3 linked regions of the Coturnix japonica genome follow. The protein of the gene in region 3 interacts with the protein of the main gene of each other region in a biochemical or structural test. Links are inferred from orthologs where the notes say so. Each region holds a gene or a part of one and is shown on either strand. Other genes may lie near its edges.

Region 1 (4,086 bases), on a different chromosome or scaffold from region 3:
TAGCTTAAATTAATTTCCATGCTTTATAGAGATGCAATGAAATTTTCTCATGCAGTGAAGAAGTGAAAGGAGGATAACTTAGTTGAGCCAGCACAATCAATTTGTCACTCAAGCAGTGAAATGTGTACATCTAATCCAGATGCCTAAACTATAAACTATTCTCAGTATAGAATAGACAAATGAAAAAGTTTCCTCCAGAGGGGTAATTCAGCTCAGAAGCCCAGTTCAGTTGTTCCGAGTTGTTGTGAAGTTACTAGGTTGCATATATTCAGTTGAGAAAACAAGATCAAGTTGTCAAAATTAGACAACAAACTAGGATTCTAAAGTTAAGTACAGAAATTGCTCTCTAGATTCATTGTATTCCCTACACTGCCACAGGACAGCAGTCTTTCGTGTTTAAATCATACCTCAAATACATCACAACAGTAAGATTGGTTACATCTCATAATCTTAAGAGCCAAACCAAGTAAGACAGACATAAAATAAGAAATCTGGTAACAACTCCTAAGAAACAAGAAAAATCACAAAGCACAGGGAAAGACTACTTTACAGCAGTTGCCAGCAGATACCAAGTGCCAATGCAACACACTCCTTACCATCGAATGACAGTACTGCAGCAGCTCACTACCAGCATATCTGGAGCAAAAACCATGTACCATGGTACTGAAGACGTACTTTACTAATTCCTCAAAGCAAATGTATTCTTAACACACCCTGTATCTCATAAGTACCAACTTAAAGTATTACAACAATTCAGCATAACGAACGGTATTTAGCATAATTTAAGTTACACAGCCACCAGTTATTTCTGCTCCCCATGAAAACCATTTGGCAGGACTAAGAGGATGGTCCTAAGACGGATTTTTTTTTTCTAGACTAGCATTGCATTAGGTATGTATTAAAGTGATGATATATGAAAGCATTTATTGACAAAAGGCTATTAAGGAAGTCAGTAACAAACAAATGAAAACAAAGTAAGGTGAAACAAGTAAATAATCTATAATCGCCTAACTCTTGAAGATGAATTAAGCTCACATTCCTCTCTTGTCAAAGGCACAGCTGGAGGACTTAAAGTGCAGGGGACAGCAAGTGAGCCTAGAAAGGAAAGGAATATGCCAAAGGAAAAAGAGGTGAGATGACAAAGAAGATTTTTAAGACAAGAAAGTAAGATCAAAAGGGAAGGGGAAAAAAAAAAATCACGGTGAAGGAAATATGGGAGGAAGAAAGCTGAAACAGGAAAGGTGATAAGGGAATGGTGATGATTAAGAAATAGGGCTGAAAAGGAAATAAGGATTGGAAAAGGATCACAATAAGGACACAGCTTTCAGTGGCAGACAAAGTTACTGGGAGACAAAGGAGGTGATTAGCTGCAATGACAAACAACTGCAAGACTTGCCATCTGGATGGCGGCAATAAATACATGAACAAACAAACAGGTAAGAGGTTATTTGGGGGGGGAGAGAGGGGTGAGAAAGGGAGGAGGGTTGGGAAACTCTCCCTGGGAACACAACATTAGGGAGCTACAAGGGAAAACCTGGGGCACAGTCCTTGATAAAGCTGAGGAAGATAACAACAATGGAAATAAATACTTTAGAGATGACAGTAAGGGGTTGGGTGGGTACACAAGAGAAATTTGGCTACAACCACACGGGTCCTATATAGATCTGAGTGCTACTAGTTTTGAGATGGAAACAACAGAATGAAAGGTAACCACGTGAAGAATAAAGGAGAAAAGAGAAGTGAAGACAGACAAAAAACTAACACTGGTGATGAGACAAGCTACGGGAAAAGCTCCAGAGGCCTCAGGATAGAATAGATGAGGCCTAGAATGAACACGGCCTGGGCATACAGTCCTAGGGCCAGTGAGAAGGCAGAAGAGGTGTAGGGCTCTGGAAAGAAGGGCCCGAAGGGTCAGGATCTGAGAGATGTAAGTCTAAAGCAACGACCGTGGCGGTCCAGGCCACGTGCCGGGAAGGGCTGGGAGGCGGGAGGGAGGTCGGGCCGACCTCGATAGGGGAGCGGGCAGGGCAGACAACAGGCAGATCTGTGAGGCGAGGGTTGCCGGCAGCGCGGGCCCTCGCGGTCCGGCGGGGTGATGTAATTCCAGTGCGTAGTTAGAGGCCTCCCGCACCGGCCCGCAACTTCGAGGCCGGAGCTCCGAACCCGTCAGACAACGACTCCCGCTGTCTCTGGAACGCGGTGTACGCCCGGTAGAAGAAAGGCGGGCGGGCAGGTCGGCCAGGCCCAGCCCCTCCTGCTCCCGCGCTCCTCGCTGTATGACTCAAAGCCGGGCCACGCTTCGTTAAGCCCTTGTCGCCTTGGCCCAGCTGAGCTTCCCCACCCGGCCCGGCTGCGTTGCTGGCCTGGCTGCGACACAGCACCGCGGCCTCCCGCACTCACCAGTATCGCACGTCCCGCAGAGTCAGGCCGCGTCCGCCCGCCCCTTCCGCTACCGCCGAGCCCAGATCCGCCACCGCCTCCCCTCAGCACGGCTCAGAAAGCGAGAAGGCACCGCCCCCCTTAGCTTGGCTCGGAGCGACCCACGGCGTGGAGAGGACCCAACCCGTGGGTAGACGCGAAGTCTACCCAGCCCGCTGCCGCCTCCTCTCCTCTCCCTAAAGGCGGGCAAAGGGCTAGCAAAGACAGCGCAGCAGAACCTCTCCCCACCTAAGCCACCGGAAGAGATCAGCGTAGTTTGAGCCTCGAGTCCGGAACTAAAAATAACCGGCAGCCACGGCGCCCGCGCGGGGAGGAGTTGCCCTTTGGTTGTGCTGCTCTCCACAAGCCTGCCTTCTCCGGCTGCCCCGGCGGAAATGACAAAGGCAGGTGTGTGTGCAGCCGGAAATGACAACGGCGCAGTCGTTCAACAGGGTCGCGTTGATGGTCCGAGTCTTCTGGCCTGTACGTTTTACTGCCCTAAAGGGTCATCCTGCTTGGCCCCCCAGAGTTAGGCCGCTTCTAGAGCCATCAGGTGCACTCATTTTCCAGTCTGAAATGCTAAGACTTGTATCTGCTCATGATGAAATCGCAAATGCTTTTTTATTTATTAGATACTAATTCTTAGCTTGTCCTAGGCCACTGAATTACGTGGTATCCAGTGTTAAAGTTACAATGAACACTGAAGAAAATCCCCATCTGACATTACCAAATTAAACTGCTCTCATCTGAACGGCATCAAGAGTCACTAGTTTCGAGTAAACACTGAATTGAAAAATGGCAGTTAAAGAGAAATGGTCACAATGACCTAAATATAATTAGAAATTGTAATGTTATTGTGAATTTCATGAAAAACAAAAAAACAACTCAGAAAACAACATTGCGGAGAGAATAGGGTAGAAATTCTTTGAAAGAAAAGTTTAATCATTCAGTTTGTGAGCTGACGGGGAGATGCTTGAAGGTCTGATAGAGAAATAGATCATGAACTAAATAATGATGTTTGTGATCTTTGAACAAATGTATATGAATTTAATGCAAGATAAAATAAAAACTGCTAGTTTTTGTATCATTGTCACATGGATTACAAGAGGGGCAGTTAATTTTCAAAAGCATGGGATGGATAATGCAAAATCATGCCAAAATTAAGCCAAGTTATTGAAATCAAGGTTTTGGAAAAGTAATGCTTTGGACTCTGTCCTGCCTTATAATTCCGCAGTCCTCAGGAATAAACATTCATGGTACTGTGATGTAAAGGAGGAGGGTGGGATTAATGTATCCTCTGTATTTTGCTTCATCATGGCTCTCTGTACTGTATCCTCCCAAACTATGGGGACTTTCCTTGCCAAGATGAAGTCAAATGCTGGTCTGAATTATACCAAAAGATACTTAAAGCAACTTGCATGGAATCATTAAAAAAGTTTTTTATGAAGAATTCTGCCCAGAAAAGTTTTTTATGAAGAATTCTGCCCATAAGGAGCACTAGCTCCTTATGAAGAGAGAAATGGGGAAGCAACAGAGAGAAACAAAAGATTTCTTTGTTCTCCAAAATGTTTCACTTGCATGCTGGCTCCAGCAGCTTCACACCATTTTCAAAAACTGGCCTTAGAATCATAGAATCGCCAAGGTTGGAAAACACCTAAAAGATCATCC
Region 2 (4,148 bases), about 92 Mb from region 3:
CAGAAGCTAAATATCACTGAAAGCATTGTTCTGTAATTACCCAGTGTAGACTTCCAAAAAAAAACCAAACCAGTTACTGCTTTGGAGGACTCTTGAAATGTTTACTGATAAGCACATTACAGCATTATCTCTGTCCTTACTACCACTCCCATAGCACAAAGCCTACAGATATATTTTTGGTAGAAGTTACCCTTTTGACTTTCTGACACAACTTTGACGTTTTCCTTGCAATCTCTAGTCCAAGCATTAGCTAACAAAGGAATGAATTGCCCTGTTCTTGGCCATACCTGTTCTTCAATACTCAGTTTTAAAGAAGAGAAAGCAGGGAGTCATCCTTTCAATGGGGCTTCACATTTAACAAAAGCCATCTGTAATACTTGCTGTGGTAGACAACTGACAGAACAGATCACTTCTCTAATGAGATTACCAGGAATCGCCATGCAGCACTAGCACTCTGTTTAATCGTGGAGAAGAAGTTATTGGGTAAATACTTCTTTATGAGGGGTCAATTCACCAGCATGTCAATCTCTTCAAGTGTTAAACGGGAAAACACAGAACAGCATTCTCAGCACACTCCCACTAAGTAATTAGTCTTCACAGACAAGTTCACAAGCCAACAAGCAAACCAAATCAACATACATTCATTAAAGAGTAAATCTTAATCACTGCTGCCAACAGATACGAAGAATCAGGAAATGTATTTGCCAACAGCAGACGCTGGCATACATTTAATATACCTTGCTTATGTTCTCTGTGGGATCCATTCTGATGCATCCTTGGTCTCCTCATTTTCCACCCCATCTGCCACTTTTCCCCCTTCACCATAAGTAACTGCACTTCCAACTATGCCAGTCAATCTTGTCATACATCTGTCTCCTGCATCCAGTGCTGCATTTGGATGTACGTAATGCTTCCCTCCTAGCTGTTAAACCCATTTAACTTAAACTACATGAAATCTGGGTACCCCCTCTCAAGACATTTTCTGTTCCCATCATGTTTGCAGGGTCTGTTAATTTACTGTTACCCTCTGTGCTCAGCCTCACAATCTGCTGTTAAATACTGGCTCTTGTTTACCACAATGGCTATGCTCAAATCAGGTCACTTCTCCCAGCACATTTCTAAACACCAATTTCTCAGCCAGCTCTTTATCTCACTACTCTGCCTTCCCCCAAACAAAATCCCTCCTCTGCTCAACATGTGGTTATAGCACTATTGCTATCCTGACAGCACCAGCGCTTGACTGCCATCAAGAAAATGCTTAATCCATACCACAGTAAGTATTAAAGTGCCTCTGCCTCCAGCTGACTTAATACTTGAGATAAGTAGCACATGGAAGATGACAGATATAGTTTATTTAGTTTCACGTAATGCTGCTACTGAGAGGAAAACCTAACAGTAAGTGTTAGTGCCTGCCCTACAGCTCCCATACCTTAACTGACTTCCTGCCTATAGCACCAGGCTGCTGCAGAGAAACTCACACGTAGGTTCCTGAGATGAGAAGCCCATCGCATGTAGACTCCCTCAACCTAAACTTAAACTGCTGGGTGAAAGAGGGATTCTCTGCTCTTCCTCCTGCATTCATGCAAAATCTGGAACTCTACTACCCACAAAAACTGAAGTAAACTCTGTTTTGTTGACAATGGGACGGCAGGGTGATTACTCACACTCCTTAAGCGACTCACTTAGAAACCACAAGAAGCGTGAAGCCTTTGGCTGTCCCACCTGCTTAACATAACTGCAAGGATGACAGCTACTAGCCATGTTTGTTATCAGACACCACCAAAATGAAATACTTTGGCCTTTAAAATATTTCAAGGAGTTGAAAATTTAAGGCTCTTTACTAAGAAATCAAAATGTAAAACCCATTTAGAGCTCTGGATTACTCTTGCACTGCAAAGAAACAGGTGCCACATACCAGAAACTCGCATTTTCCAGCCCAAGACTAACTCCTTTCCTTCTTTATTCACATCTATTCTGGCCCATTCTCCACTATTGATGATGTTTCTAACCAAGCCACACATACGACACGCTTTTAGGCTCTGGCCCCTCTCCAAGGCTCCCTGCCCCCCATGCCATGAGGTATGCGCTTTCCGAACGCCTACCACCTGACTGCAAGACGACAACTGAGTTTAGATGAGGAAACCTCGCGGACCACGAGACCACTTAAGATTTCCGTCACATCTCATCTCAGCCTCCGGGCGAGATGATCTCACCCAACTTGAAGGGAAAGAAAAAAAAAGAAAGAGGGAGAGAAACCGCCAGTCCGTGCGTGAGGGAGGGAGGGGGAAGCGAAGGCAGACAAAGGAAGCGTCGCACGGCGATCAGAATCCCGCGGCCTTCCCCGCTTCCACGGGCAGCGGCGGCTCCGCAGCCCTCTCTCCGGCCCGGGCGCCACGCGAGGCGCGGAGCAGCGGCACCTCCGGGCCGGCCCCGTCCCGTGCCCGCAGCCGGATCGGGGGAGGCCGGGGGCGGTGACCGACACCTCTCCCGTCCAACCACCCGGCCGGCCAGACGGGACGAGGTAGGCCGCGTCCCCCCGCCTCCTCACGCTCCCCCGGCCGGGCCCCGCACTAACCGCCACCGGCCGGATCGCCGCCTCCAGCGCCGCCCGCGCCCCCGGGGCAGCGGCATCACCCGCGGCGCGGAGCCGGGGAGTTGTCCATGCCGCCGTCCGGCCGCGGGGCGGCCCGACACGAAGAGGGGCCGGGGAGCCCCGGGAGCCCCGCTCCGCCTGCAGCCCGCGGGACGGCCCGGCTCCCGGCCCCGCTCCGCTCTGCTCTCCCCTTCCCTCCCGGCGGCGGGAGCGGAAAGACACCGACCCCTGGCCGAGAGAGCGGGCGTTCCAACCCCGATTGCGGTCCGGGCGGCTGCAGGGAGCCGAGAGAGCGAGTTCCGAGCGCGGCCCTCCGCCCAGCGCCGCCCCCTCCCGGGCATGCGCAGCCAGACAGAGGCCAACGGCCGGGACAGCGATGGTGTGACTAACACAGGGGGGATTTCAGCACGCATCCCTCTGAGCGCTGCAATATCGGGCTGTTGTGATGCTCAGCGCTACTCTGTGCTACTAGGTTTACTCACTAAGTCCAACCCTTGTTATTCACGTTCCTCATCACACCACGAATAATCAGTTATTCAAAGCTGCAGTGTGCTTTGGCTTCCTTTGTCTGATATTTGTCTCTTTTAATACCAAAATAACAGTAGGAACTCTTTAACGTTGTTATTATAGCGCTGCAGAAGCATCTTTCCCAAGCACACGGTACTTGTAGGACGATAATAGTAGCAGCCTGTAGAGGGCAGCAAACCTCAGCAAACTGATTTTAAGTTTCTTAAAGTGAGCTCTATAAACCCGGTTCATTCAATCGTTCAGTCGTTTAATTTCTTTAGAGCTTATTTATGCTGTTACGTGTTGGGTTCTGGGGTAGGTTATTTCCTTGCACTTGGTGTTTCGTTGCTTCACACAATGTCTGTGGGGACGCTGCGTGCTAACACAGCTCTCCAGACCCAGCTCCAAACTATGGCTGTATGTTGGTTGATAAACACAAACGCTCTCAGAACGTTCCAGAAAACGCTGTTCTCCTTTCAGAACGCTGGAGCTGGCTGTCGCACGGCACTACAGCTCCCAGCACATCGCGGCCCCGCTCCGCAAGGCACGCCGGGGCTGGAGAAGGCGGGGTCGTGCTGGGGCTTGCGACGCTTGTTTGCAGCAGTGCGGCCAGGCGCGGCCGCCGTATTCCGAGCGCAGCCCGGCTGTTGTGCCGCGAGCCGGCGGGAGGGAGCGGAGCGGCCGGGGACGGGGCGCGGAGGGAAGGAGCGAGCAGCTCCGCCGCCGCCGCCCGGCCCTGCATGCTCCGCGGGGCGGCACGGGGGCCTCATCCTCGTCCTCCTCATCCTCCTGTTGCCGCTGCCCGGGGGTGGCGGGGCGGGGTGCGCGGCTGCCGAGAGGCGTCGCGGGTCGGCGAAGATGGACTATGACTTCAAGGTGAAACTGACCGGCGAGCGGGAGCGGGTCGAGGACCTGTTCGAGTACGAGGGCTGCAAGGTGGGCAGAGGCACCTACGGGCACGTCTACAAGGCCCGCCGCAAGGACGGGTGAGTGAGGAGCGGGGCTCCATTCTGACTTCCCCTGTCCCGGCCTCGTCCCTCTCGGCCCC
Region 3 (4,016 bases):
CGTAAAGGGACAATACATCTTTAAGGAATAAAAAGCCTACACTGCTTCTCTTCATTTCTTTGCTTGCTAGATGGCGAAAGCAAGTCTCCATCGGTCGCCCTCTTCCACTCCCCCCCCCCTTCCCAAAACGTTTATGTGCTACATAAGGTAAAAACTATATACACAGGTAGTACAATGAAGCAAATAAGGAAACACCTAATTGCACAATGCTACATCCGATGCTTTTAGAGGCAGGTCTTTTTTTAAGAGTGTCTAAACTTTTAGTGTTATTGTCTGCTTTTTTTTGTTTGTTTTGCTGAAGTTGTTTTTCAGTGCTTGCACAGGGTCCCCATCCCATGGAGACCGACGATATGTATTCATCTCTACTACGACTTTTTTTTTGTTTGTTTGTTTGTTTATCTTCCTGGCTTCACCGCCCCCCGATGAGCAAGGAAACACGAGTCCTCCGCCCTGCAACGGGAAGAAGACGGGGAGAAGACATTAGAGAGGCTGAAAGCGACGCGCTCCCTTCAACGGGCTCGTACCGCTCCCCGCAGCAGGGAAGGCCCGGCCCGGTCACGGCCCGTGCGTCGTCCCAGCCCCGCGGCACTCTAAGCCCGGCCGCCCCAGGGCCGTCGGCCGCCTCCGCTCGGAGCCCGTGGGGCCGGGCCGCCACCGGGCCGCGGAGCTGCCCCCGCCCCGAAGGAGCGGGCGGTGGTGCGCTATTTGCATAGAGGCGAGGGCTGACGCCTAACCCTAACCCCCCCACCCCCCACAGCAGGAGTAATTTGTTGCAACTTCTGCTTTGCAGCTTAATCTCTTCGGCACAATCGCGAACCGCGTTCGCAAACCTTCCCGCTAAACCCCGGCCCCGAAACCGCCGGCGCGATGTACCACCTCCCTCCGCCCCAGCCCTCGCGCTGAAACAAAACAACAACAAGAACACCACACACGGCTGCCATTAACCCGCTCCCTTCCCTGGAAACTCAGCCAGCGCCTGAAACTAAAACCACAACGACCGGGGAGGAGAAAAATAAAAAAAAAAAGAGAAAAACAACACAAAACCGGAGCACAAGCTCTCCTCTCTCAGCCCAAGAGGCTCCCGCTCAGCCCCGCTTTTATCCAGAGCCCTCCTGGGCCGGAGCTCCCTGCCACGGTGGGACAGTGCGAACGGCGCCGAGGCGGGGCAGCCCCCCAGCACCACGACGCCGCGTGAAGCCCGGTCCCGAGCTCGGGGCGGACACCCCCGAGGCATCCTAATGCCCAGAGCCCGAAGGGAACCTACTCGGGGAGTTTACGTTTGATGTCGTCTCGGGCTCGATTTCTTGGGCGTTTGCTCCACTGAACTGGCACTGGGGGAGTCTTCTGAAACCTCCTCTTCTGTTGTGTTGGCTCTTTTATTTTGAGGAGAGGAATCTAGGAGGGGAAAATTAAAAAACAGGGGGGGGGGAGAAGACCGGTTTAAAACGCTGTCCCGCAAGGTGCTCGCTCGGCACCCGGGGGCGGGAGGAGAGACGGGGCCGGGGCTTATTCCCGCACGTCCCCGCATCCCTACGTCAGCTACCGGGCTACGCGAAGGTGGGCGCGGACGGGCTTTTCTCTGGGCAAAGAGACGCGCGTTTTAGTTTCGCCCCGACTCCGGCGCTCGGAGCGTCCCCTCTTCTCCTCCGCAGAGGGGCTGCCCGAGGGGCGCCACTCGGTCCCGCCGCTCACCCGCGGTCCCCGCCGAGCGCGGAGCTCCGGGCGCTCGCGGGCGGCACCGGGGGCGTTCGGGCGGGAGGAGGCGGGGGCCGGGCCCGGCGCTGCCCGCGGGGTACGTTACCGTCGGCGGCGGGTCTTTTCCTCTGCCCGGCGCACTGCTCTGCAAAGTCCGTCTGACCGCCAGCAACACTGGTCTTCCCGCCTGCACAGTGGGTATCCTCTGAGATTCCCTGAGAAGAGGCGCAAATTGCTGTTTGGCAATTCTTGTTTTCATCCAGGCTCTGACAGACGATGGACTTGCATATGGCTTTGGGTAGCCTCAGTGGTCTGAAGGACAAGTCGGGCGAGCTCCCCTTCTCCACGGCTTGCCACTCGTACCTGCCTTCCAGCGGCTTGTGGTTCTGGAAATCGAAATTCCACTTCCTCTGGCATGCCTCTTCCATTTCCTTGCGGTGCTTCTTCAAGTCCCTGTTTAACTCTTCGTGGTTTATCGGCCCGAAGAGGTTCCTGCAGGCCGACGGCTTCGGGTACTCCGACTGTCGCGCCTCCATGCGCTCCAGGGTAGGGCTCCCATTAGAAATGCGGACGTTTGACATCTCCCCCTCCCTTTCTGCCGTCGCCGATGGCGCTGGGCTTTCTCGCGGCTCTCCCCGCTCTTCCTCTCCGCTCCTTACCCGCGGCCGCTCGCAGGTTCTCCTCCGCGGTCTGTCTCCGTACGGCCCCCTCTCTGCGGCCCCGCCTCGGCCCGCGGAGGAGAGGCGGCGGCGCGCAATTGCATAAGCGCCGGGCCGGCCGAACCCCGACAGCCGCCGCCGCCGGGCAGCCCGGGCGGCTCCGGAGGGGAGCGGCCGAGCGGGGAGCGGCGCTGCCCTCCGCGGCCCCGGGGGCGGCCTCGCGCTGCCGTCGGCACGGCCCCACCGCTGCCCGCACGGCCCCGCCGCTCTCCCCACGGCCACGTCGTACGGGCGGAGAGGGAAAAAAAACAAGGCGAGACGAGCCCTTTTCTCAGTTGCCCAATATGGCGATTGAAGGGAGGTTGACGAAGGAGAAAATGATTGACAGGACGAGTCTATTTAAACAGCGGAGCCGAGCCATTGGTTACGGCGGCCGGCACCGCCCCGTCGGCACGGCCATACCTCGCCGCCGCCGCCGGCTCTAAAGGTGGCCCTGGCCGCCGGCCGCCCCTCGGCGGGCGGGCAGAGCGTGGGGGGCACGGCACGGCTCCGCTCCGCGCACGTGAGCCCGCCTCCCCCTGCGGAACATAAGCCTGGTGAAAGTCACGCGAGTCGAGGGGACTAGCTGCATTTTGACTCGTTGTGGCTATCGCTCTGCTTGCACAGGGTTGGGCGGGCTGGGAGCTGCGCTCCGGCTGAGGCGGGGGAGAGGGTCACTGCCCAGCATCCTCGTAGTGCTGCCCGCAGGAGGAAAGGGAGAAAGCGAGGGGTGGCTTCTGCTGCACTGCCGGCAAGGAGGGCCCAGGTGTGGAAGGAGCTGTAAGAATTCTCAGCAGGGAGCTGTATTCTCAGTAAGCAGGGGAAAGAGAATGAAAACCTTCAAGTTTGTGTGTTTTGAAAGGTTAGTTGAGCCAGGAGTCATGGGCAGGGATTTTTGAGCTGTTTTTCTGATTGCTGCAGCAGGTCCGCTGGAGTTAAGAGCAGTGCAGGGTTCTCCTCTGGGCTCTCCTTGTTCACACTCACTCACACTACAGTCAGCATCTCTTGCTCAGCAGGACAGCCCCACACACTGCAGGATCTTTTCAGACACTGGAGGTTTGGGACTTCCCCAGGGCCCAGGTAACCTGGATACTACAGACCCCACATACCAAAGTGTCTGGCCTGGCACCCTCCACAAAGTCCAGCTGTCCAAAATCTTGTGGCCTTAAAGCTTTGGAGCTTTTGCCCCATCTGTACTCAGACACACACTTTGCTTCAGGCCTTGCAGTTGCAGTGGGCCACCAAAACCTACCCTGTAGTTGGTGCGTTTTGAACTGGAGCCTCACCTGTGCAGGCACTGGAAAGGGAACAAGATCAGCATTTAATGCTTATCCCCAGAGTATGGTTGTCTGTGGGCCTCCTTCCCTAAGGCAGCAGCCCCCTGCCTTGCTCAGCCTTCTGTCCTGGGTCAGCCTCTTGTCAGCACCGAGTTCAAAAAGGGATGTGAGCATCCAAAGAGAAAAATAAAAACACTTAAAAAACACAAGGTTGAAATAAAATGTCAGCCCTGCTATTTTTGTTTGCCAGAACTTTTACCACAAGTTGTTTTCCAGCTCCTTTCAGCAACCACAGGATCTACCCATTCACAGAGACTTGAAGCTGACATCCTGATGTCTGCATCTT

Evidence for each region.
Region 1: the proteins of CDKN1B (region 3) and CUL1 form a complex in vitro, tested with the Homo sapiens proteins (2 studies listed by BioGRID, with this or other methods). The link is inferred for Coturnix japonica from reciprocal best matches to the Homo sapiens genes CDKN1B and CUL1.
Region 2: of the proteins of CDKN1B (region 3) and RNF6, one has a biochemical effect on the other in vitro, tested with the Homo sapiens proteins (2 studies listed by BioGRID, with this or other methods). The link is inferred for Coturnix japonica from reciprocal best matches to the Homo sapiens genes CDKN1B and RNF6.

What each region holds. Positions count from the first base shown.
Region 1 is NC_029517.1:75,356,528-75,360,613, reverse strand, and holds the start of CUL1 (cullin-1), read right to left. Parts: upstream 2,809-4,086; 5' UTR 2,668-2,808; intron 2,662-2,667; exon of another isoform or gene 2,401-2,661; intron 1-2,400. UniProt on the Homo sapiens protein: Core component of multiple cullin-RING-based SCF (SKP1-CUL1-F-box protein) E3 ubiquitin-protein ligase complexes, which mediate the ubiquitination of proteins involved in cell cycle progression, signal transduction and transcription.
Region 2 is NC_029516.1:158,057,869-158,062,016, reverse strand, and holds the start of RNF6 (E3 ubiquitin-protein ligase RNF6), read right to left. Parts: upstream 2,809-4,148; 5' UTR 2,632-2,808; coding exon 2,576-2,631; intron 2,533-2,575; exon of another isoform or gene 765-2,532; coding exon of another isoform or gene 738-764; exon of another isoform or gene 1-737. UniProt on the Homo sapiens protein: E3 ubiquitin-protein ligase mediating 'Lys-48'-linked polyubiquitination of LIMK1 and its subsequent targeting to the proteasome for degradation. Negatively regulates axonal outgrowth through regulation of the LIMK1 turnover.
Region 3 is NC_029516.1:66,307,645-66,311,660, reverse strand, and holds the start of CDKN1B (cyclin-dependent kinase inhibitor 1B), read right to left. Parts: upstream 2,802-4,016; 5' UTR 2,277-2,801; coding exon 1,802-2,276; intron 1,396-1,801; coding exon 1,274-1,395; 3' UTR 1,265-1,273; intron 451-1,264; 3' UTR 1-450. UniProt on the Homo sapiens protein: Important regulator of cell cycle progression. Inhibits the kinase activity of CDK2 bound to cyclin A, but has little inhibitory activity on CDK2 bound to SPDYA. Involved in G1 arrest. Potent inhibitor of cyclin E- and cyclin A-CDK2 complexes.